2 linked regions of the Oryctolagus cuniculus genome follow. Each later gene encodes a partner of the first gene's protein in a complex. Links are inferred from orthologs where the notes say so. Each region holds a gene or a part of one and is shown on either strand. Other genes may lie near its edges.

Evidence for each region. Proteins that work in one complex are often made in the same cells at the same time.
Region 2: MED4 (region 1) and MED7 share a complex: the UniProt entries of both Homo sapiens proteins name them as parts of the mediator complex. The link is inferred for Oryctolagus cuniculus from reciprocal best matches to the Homo sapiens genes MED4 and MED7.

What each region holds. Positions count from the first base shown.
Region 1 is NC_091440.1:67,125,612-67,129,598, forward strand, and holds the start of MED4 (mediator of RNA polymerase II transcription subunit 4), read right to left. Parts: upstream 2,852-3,987; 5' UTR 2,771-2,851; coding exon 2,646-2,770; intron 1-2,645. UniProt on the Homo sapiens protein: Component of the Mediator complex, a coactivator involved in the regulated transcription of nearly all RNA polymerase II-dependent genes.
Region 2 is NC_091437.1:44,110,576-44,114,608, reverse strand, and holds the start of MED7 (mediator of RNA polymerase II transcription subunit 7), read left to right. Parts: upstream 1-1,279; coding exon 1,280-1,981; 3' UTR 1,982-1,986; intron 1,987-4,033. UniProt on the Homo sapiens protein: Component of the Mediator complex, a coactivator involved in the regulated transcription of nearly all RNA polymerase II-dependent genes.

The DNA.
Region 1 (3,987 bases):
GGGGCGCCGGATTCTGTCCCGGTTGCCCCTCTTCCAGGCCAGCTCTCTGCTATGGCCAGGGAGTGCAGTGGAGGATGGCCCAGGTGCTTGGGCCCTGCACCCCATGGGAGACCAGGAAAAGCACCTGGCTCCTGGCTCCTGCCAGGATCAGCGCGGTGCGCCGGCTGCAGCGGCGGCCATTGGAGGGTGAACCAACGGCAAAGGAAGACCTTTCTCTCTCTGTCTCTCTCTCACTGTCCACTCTGCCTGTCAAAAAAAAAATAAAAAAAAAAATAAAAAAAAAAAAATAAAAAAAAAACAGCAGTGGCTAGGCAGCTTTTATGTTGGTAACTTGGAGCTGAGCAACTACAAACAGTGAGAACTCAACAGGAACTAAATGAGCATTCAGTTAGCTGTCTCACAGATGATGTCACACAGAACAGACACGTGAATAATTTAACTGAAACATCATACTAAATACCTTGCTAGTGTGTTTTTTTTGTTAACTAAGAAATAATGTGGATGTTGATGTTAAGAGGATTGGCTAATGAGGGAACTGACAAGTTTTCCACCATAAACTACTAAACCAGCGAAGATGGACATGCTCCGTCTGTAAACACTTGGAGGCAAAGCCTGGACAGCTGCCTGGTGCCTGTGAGTTTGTTTCCTGTACTGAGCAATGGCTGACCGAAAATTCCAGGTGCCCTGTTTGTGATCCTACTACAATGTAAACAGTGGATGAAGCTTATAAGCCATTTACCTTCTGTTGTCTGCGTGTTTTTAGGTTTTCATTACATCACTAAATGTTGTACTTAACATTGGTAAGTAATGGTACAGCAAGGGCTAAATTCACAGCAAAGACAAAGTACTGATCTTGAGTGTAAGCAGATCGGCATTTGCTGTCACAGAATGCTGGCTACGGAAATGGTGACATTTGAGACAGATGCTGAAAGACAACTCAATCATTCAGCCAGCTAGAGATAGAGTAGGAATGGCACTGACGAAGTACAGCTGGCGGTGACATGGGAAGTAGTCAGGCATCCCTCAAATGCACGGTGAGGTGACTGTACTTACACAAACCCAGACAGGAGCGGCCACCTGCTGTGGCCTGACGCAATCAACAGTTCCCAGCAAAAACAAGGTATAGGAGGCTGCTCCCAGCAGAATGTGGCACTTTGCTTAACAGTTAAATTTTAAGTAATAGGAGGAATAAACTCTAAATAACAATGAAAAGTATTGCACAGTAAATACATAAATCAGTAACAGTCATTTATTATCAAGAATTATGGACGGGGGCTGGCATCATGGCATAGCCAGTGAAGCCACCACTGGCATCCCATATGAGCTCCGGGTTCAAGTCCCAGATACCCCTCCTATCTAGTTTCCTGCTAATGTGCCGAGAGAGCAGCGAAAGACAGCCCAAGTACTGTGTTCCTGCCACCCAGGCAGGAGACCCCGGCAGAGTTCCAGGCTCCATGCTTTGGCCTGGCCTAGCCCTGGTCTTTGCAGCCATCTGGGGAGTGAACCAGTGGATGGAAAAGCTCGCTCCCGTTCTCTCCCTCTCTCTGTAACTCTGCCTTTCAAATAAGTAACCTTAAAGAAAAGGAATGAGGGGCTGTGTGTAACTGTATGTGCTACACTTTCACGCCCCCGGCAGCAGGTGGGCCCATTCACACCAGCGTCACCACAAACACGAGCACAGAGGGCAACAAGGCCACGAGGCTGCAGGCATTTTTCAGCTCCATTATAATCCTAAGGGACCACCACAGCATAATCATATATCTGGTCTTTCCTTGACAGAAACCCGACACTGGGCCTGACTCTGCTTATACGGGCTATCGAGTATTTTTTAAGAAGAATGATGCGAGATGCTTTTTAAAATAACGATGGTGCTCAGCAGTATAAAATGACAAAGTATATCAAGTACAAAAGAAAGTAGAAACTTTTGGCAGGCTGCAAAAACAACACAACTTAGATCCAGGTTAACCACAGAAGACAGGAAGGCCCCGACTTGAAAGACGACCGTGAAAACTGAGAGCCTGCAGAACAAGATCCCATCCCGTCTCCCATGCTGCTCTGCGGCCATCCCCAGCACCTTACAACTCCGCCAGGGCCTGGGGCCTCCGACTTCCAAGGTTTGCACACACTATGTCACCTCCCTGCCACCTGCTGAGTCCGATGAATTCATTCTTTCCAACCAAAGCCTGCCCTGACTACACTCCCGGGCCCGCAACGCACTGCTCGGACAAGAACGAGCCCCGCACCAGCACTGTTTACCCACCTGTCTCTCCCTGACCCCGGGCTCCTCCGCGTCGGCACCCAGCCTCCCCTTCACGACAGTCTCCTAGTGCTTGGCGCCCAAGGGGCAGCCCATTAGTGCCAGTCTCCCAACGCGAGACCTCTTAAGGTTCGCTCTGGCTCTTGCCGTCTTGGACTTCCAGGGTGGCTGTCATGACTAAAATTCTCTCTGACGGCAAAGAAAAAAGTGTTGCCCAGAGTCCCAGAGATCTGCAGACCCCATATCCTTAACACTCAAGCACCGGGGACTCCCAAGCTCAGGCCTCCCCGCCGAGACCCAGGAATGAGCGCAGAGGGCCGGCGGCGGCGGGCTCCGGGGCCAGTCCCCCAGCCCAGCCCCAGCCAGGCTCTCAGGCCGGCGCCATTACCTCGACAAGACCTCCAGATCTTCAAGCGCAGATAACAACCGCTCTCTCGTGCTGTTACCGCCTGCCGCTCCAGAGCTGCCTCCCAGCCGTTCCTTCTCCTTCTCACCACTCGAAGACGCCGCCATGCTCCCCAGGGCCAGGAACCAGCGCAGGCGCACCTCCGCGCTAGTGGGAGAAGAGGCGGGCTCGGGAAGCGGAAGGAAGGGTCACCGAGACGTAGGGAAGAGCGGTACCGCCAGAGCGCCGCCTAGGCGACTGGAGGCGCACTATGGGCGTTAGCGCCATCTGCTGGACCAGCCGGGCTTCTCCATTACATACCCAGGGAGCGCCCAAGGAGTGAGACTGGAGGGGGCGATTCAGTCCGATTCTTCTGGGCCTTCTGGTTTTTCAAGCAGCAATGGAAGGCTTCTCCCAAACGGTTTTTGAGCATTTCAGGGAGTTACCTACTTGCCTACCTGTTATGTCCGTTTCTTCATAAACTCGACTGGTGTCTCCCCAGGATTGTCTCTGCAGTCTGCATTCCCATGATGCTGTTCTAACCTTCCTGTTGCATGGCTCTTGGAAGCTGCAGTAAGCTTTTCAGCACAGGAACCAAAACCATTTGTGATCCTATTTTTTTTCATTGTAGCAAAATACACAAAACGTAAAAGTCACGGTTTTAGCTATTTCAGTGTGTAGTTCAGTGACGTTAAATATGTTCACACTATTGTGCATCTAGAAAACTCTTTTTAATGATGGGGGAACTAGGCATGAAGATTAGGTAGAAAGAGTTGAGCTGGAATAGTTTCTCAGAATTTCTGCATAACCCTGCATGGCAACTCCTCCCCCTTACCTGTCAACCCAGTGTGCCCCCTTTCCCATGATGCACCTGCCTCATCAGGGATCAGGAAGGAAGGGAACCATAATGACCACGTGGAAGGTAAGTTGCTAGCCAAGGCACCATGAAACTGCCTCACACTGAACTCCATGCTGTTTGCATACTTATCAGAGCACCACCCAGTACCTCACAAAAGGGACTGATAAATGTGGAAACACTCCTTTTTTGCTTTTTTGGCTTCAGGAGCATACTTACGGTCCTTCTCTGGTCTCCTTGCCCTCTCTCTCCTCCTAGGCAACTCTGGCCCACTCATGACAAGCATCTCTCCATGCAGGGATGCCCACACTCACACGAGAATGTATATTCACTCTTTCAATAAATCGTCTTCTCCCTCGTGCTCTGTATGTATTGCTCTGTTTTGAATTCTTACCTCTGCAGGGACAAAAACTTGGAATAAAAGTTGAGATTGGCATGCCTGCAACATTCACACCTCATAAAACAAATCTAGCTTCATTCCTCCCCACG
Region 2 (4,033 bases), on another chromosome or scaffold:
TGTTGTGCCGTTAGTAGTTATGCGATCTGCAGACACGTGCCCTTAAGACTTGGGATCCTCATCCGAAGAATAGAATTGATCGTGTACTTAGGTCATAGCTTTGGCAGGAAGATGATGTGGAGAGGATGTGAGACAGTGATGCCTCTTAGGGAGTTGACCCTGGAAAGATGCCAGCTGAAGTCGAGGGGTGCGCATCCGCAGAGGCACACGGGTACTTGCCGCCTCCTGACGTCGGAGGGGTGTGTCTTAAAACTGTTCAGATCGGTTTAAAAGAGCACTTGAGAATCTTCAGATTGGATGATAATACCTATGTTTAAAAAGGAGTAAGTAGAAGTGATTGTGGCCATAGAAGCTGTGGGTTTGAATTTGGGTTTCAAGTTTCTATAGTAGATACAGAAAGGTTAGTAAATTGTAGCATAAAATGTAGAAAAAAGATACAGACTTGGATAATCATTTCATCTAGGAGCCTTGGATGATACTGGGTATCTAGATTTTAGTAATGTTAATTTTGTCAAAATGTTTGAGTTATAAGTATTTACTTTGGGAAATCACTTCGTAATAGTAAAAGTGATTGTAGGGGCTGGCATTGTGGCGCAGCAGGTTAAATGGCTCCCTGCAACACCAGTATCCCATATGGGCACTGGTTTAAGTCCTGGTTGTTCCAATTTTATCTGGCTTCCTCTCATATGCCTGAGAAGGCAGTGGAAGATGGCCCAAGTGCCTGGACCCATATCACTCACAAAGGAGATCCGGATGAAGTTCCTGGATTCTACATGGCCCCGGCCCAGCCCCAGTCCTTAGCAGCTATTTGGGGAATGAAAAGGCAGATGGAAGATATCTCTGTTTCTCCTTCTCTCTCTGTAACTCTGCCTTTCAAATCAATAAAGTAAATCTTAAAATCATCTACCTTCTAAAAAAAAAAGTGATTGTGATATGTGTTTGGGCGACAGCATGTGTAGTTTTGCTATAAAGAGATGTGGAGAAATGGGACATAAAAGGTAAGTGGTGTAGAATCCAGAAGACTTTTCTTTATAAATGAAAAGGTACTCCAAGATATTGGGAGAGAAGTATTAACAGGGAAGGAAAAATAATGTGGGTTGTTGAGAATATAGTGCTTAATTAGAAAAGGGTGGCATCCATTCTGAGTTGTAAGTGTTAGCTTTGAAACTACCGGAAGAAAAGGGGAGTGCTCTGTCTGTAAACACTAAATGTGACAGGTTTGTTTTGTAGTTCTTCTGTGAATCTTTGGTTTGTTTTTGTAGGTGCTTGATCTTCCACAATGGGTGAGCCACAGCAAGTGAGTGCACTTCCTCCACCTCCTATGCAGTACATCAAGGAATACACTGATGAAAATATTCAGGAAGGTCTAGCTCCCAAGCCACCCCCTCCAATCAAAGACAGTTATATGATGTTTGGCAACCAGTTCCAATGTGATGATCTTATTATCCGCCCTTTGGAAAGTCAGGGCATCGAAAGGCTTCATCCTATGCAATTTGATCACAAGAAAGAACTGAGGAAACTCAATATGTCTATCCTTATTAATTTCTTGGACCTTTTAGATATCTTGATAAGGAGCCCTGGGAGTATAAAACGAGAAGAGAAGCTGGAAGATCTTAAGCTGCTTTTTGTCCATGTGCATCATCTCATAAATGAATACAGACCCCACCAAGCAAGAGAGACCTTGAGAGTTATGATGGAAGTCCAGAAACGACAGAGGCTTGAAACAGCCGAGAGGTTTCAGAAGCATCTGGAGCGAGTGATTGAGATGATTCAGAATTGCTTGGCCTCTTTGCCTGATGATTTACCCCACTCAGAAGCAGGAATAAAAGTAAAAACTGAACCAATGGATGCTGATGATAGCAACAATTGTACTGGACAGAGTGAGCAGCAAAGAGAAAATTCAGGTCATCGAAGGGACCAGATTATAGAAAAAGATGCTGCCTTGTGTGTCCTAATTGATGAAATGAATGAAAGACCGTGACTCATGTTAGTTTTCTTTTTTCCCTTTTGGTAAATAGTATAATATTACTGGTTTATTTTCTTTTGGGCAGTCTTAAAATGAATAACTAAAAGTTTAAATGGCCTTTTTCTTGACTCTCCAGCTTTTTCACTTACGTAATGCCATAGGCAGCAATTTCAGTATATAACAAGTGTAGGCAAACAGGGACCCGTAAATTAAGAATAGTGACCTGAAAAAGAAAATGTTTGCTGCAGATGTGTGGGGCATTCTTTTTTTTGGAGTTGGAGTAAAAGTTTGACAGTGTCCTTGGTAATAGCAAACTTTCATCCTTAAAAAGTAAATTTGTCATTTGCTTTAAGAATGAGGGATAGATACTCTAAAATGTGAAATTATGTAATATTTAAAAATTTACCTAATCTGCATAAGGTAGTATAGCATTTTAAAAGAGACCCATTTGTTATGAAACAAAAACTTTATTTTTCCTTGTGATTCTTGTAACTCTACTACCTCAGTAGACTCTTTTTCCTTATCTTGAACCTTGGTAGGTCCCATAAATTGGTTTTTCTCAGTCACTTGGGTAGAAAGTCTTTGGTCAGCTTAGTTAGAAATTTTAGATTACAGATTTTAGTAATTAAGAGGATTGAAATTACAGATTTTTAAAAATATTTGTAATTCTTTGAAATTACACATTTTTAAAGCTAAGCTCAGACATGATCAAGGCTGGTAGACTGCAGTGGGAGAAGGGTTTGGTGGGAGCAACTGCTCGATGTCCACCAGTGATTCGCGCTTCTTCTTGCTGAGATATCACTGTTCAGCCAGTGACCACATTTCCCTACTGCCCTATATCTGTGTGAGGCCATGTGACTAAGTTCTGGGAAATGGAGTCTGTGCCCTAAGATTTCTTGCACGATCTTCCATTCTGTTCCCCAGTCGGCTAGGTGTGTGCCCACACCCATGCAAGCCTGGTGACAACAGTTTATAGTAATTTGGTTCTAGAATGTGAAGATTAGGTCCTCTTTTAACTCCATTCTTCCTTCTACAGCTAACTTAATGTGAACAAGAAATAAACTGTCTTGGGTACTGAGATTTTATTTCTGTACTTTCTTTTCTCCTCCCTCCTTCCCCCTCCCGCCCATTGGCCTCATATCAGGATCTTTGCCTGCTACTCTCTGACAGAAGCCAGTGGTTCTCCATTGTCCTTTTGGACCAGCAGCATTAGCATCACTTGGGGATTTGTTAGAAATCAAGCTCCTCTGGCTCCACCCTGGACCTTCTGAACCAGAAACTTGCTGGTGCACAGGGCGTGGCAAGCTTGGTGTTAAGCCTTCCTCCAATTCTGATGCATGCTCAAGATTACCATCTGTAGAGATGGGCCTTTTCCTGGGTGATGTGCTTTTGATTTCTCCCTCATTTCCTGTTTACTAGCATAGGGATTTGCTGCATTAAGGTCTCACCAACTCACTGTAAAATGGTTACAGGCCAATTTCCCTGTGTGAAATATGCATTCTTTGCATTCAGACAGAGGCTGTTTCCAATTAACACTTCTAGCAGACAAGAACTAATTAACAAGTCTCAAATTTAAGGTTTTTTTTTTTTTTTTTTTTTTTTTACCAACTGGAATATGCTTGGTGTAGACCTTGGGACCAGAGACCCCCAAAGGACATTCTGGTTTCCCTTAATTAAATTAAATTTGTTCCACACCTCCTCCCTCATACCTTGGTCAGTGAGCAAGATGGAAATGGCTCTTGAACAACTCAACAACCGTTTCTCTTTTGACTTTTTAAAAAATACATTGCTGTGAGAGGAGTGTTGGGCTGAGGTACAAAACCAATTTGGGACCACTTTGAAAATCCTTGCATGTAAGAAATGAAATCATTTAACATTGTTAAGAGTCACAACAGTTACTTGTAAATTTGTGTGTGTGTGTGTGTGTGTGTGTGCGCATTGAGGGGAGAGGTATTGATGGATTGCAATGCCATAGGTTAGCTTCACTTTAGCCCAGAGCTAATCAAGGAGTTCTGTGCAGTTGCACCTGATGTAACTCTTGATATTATAGTGGAATGAAACGTTAAT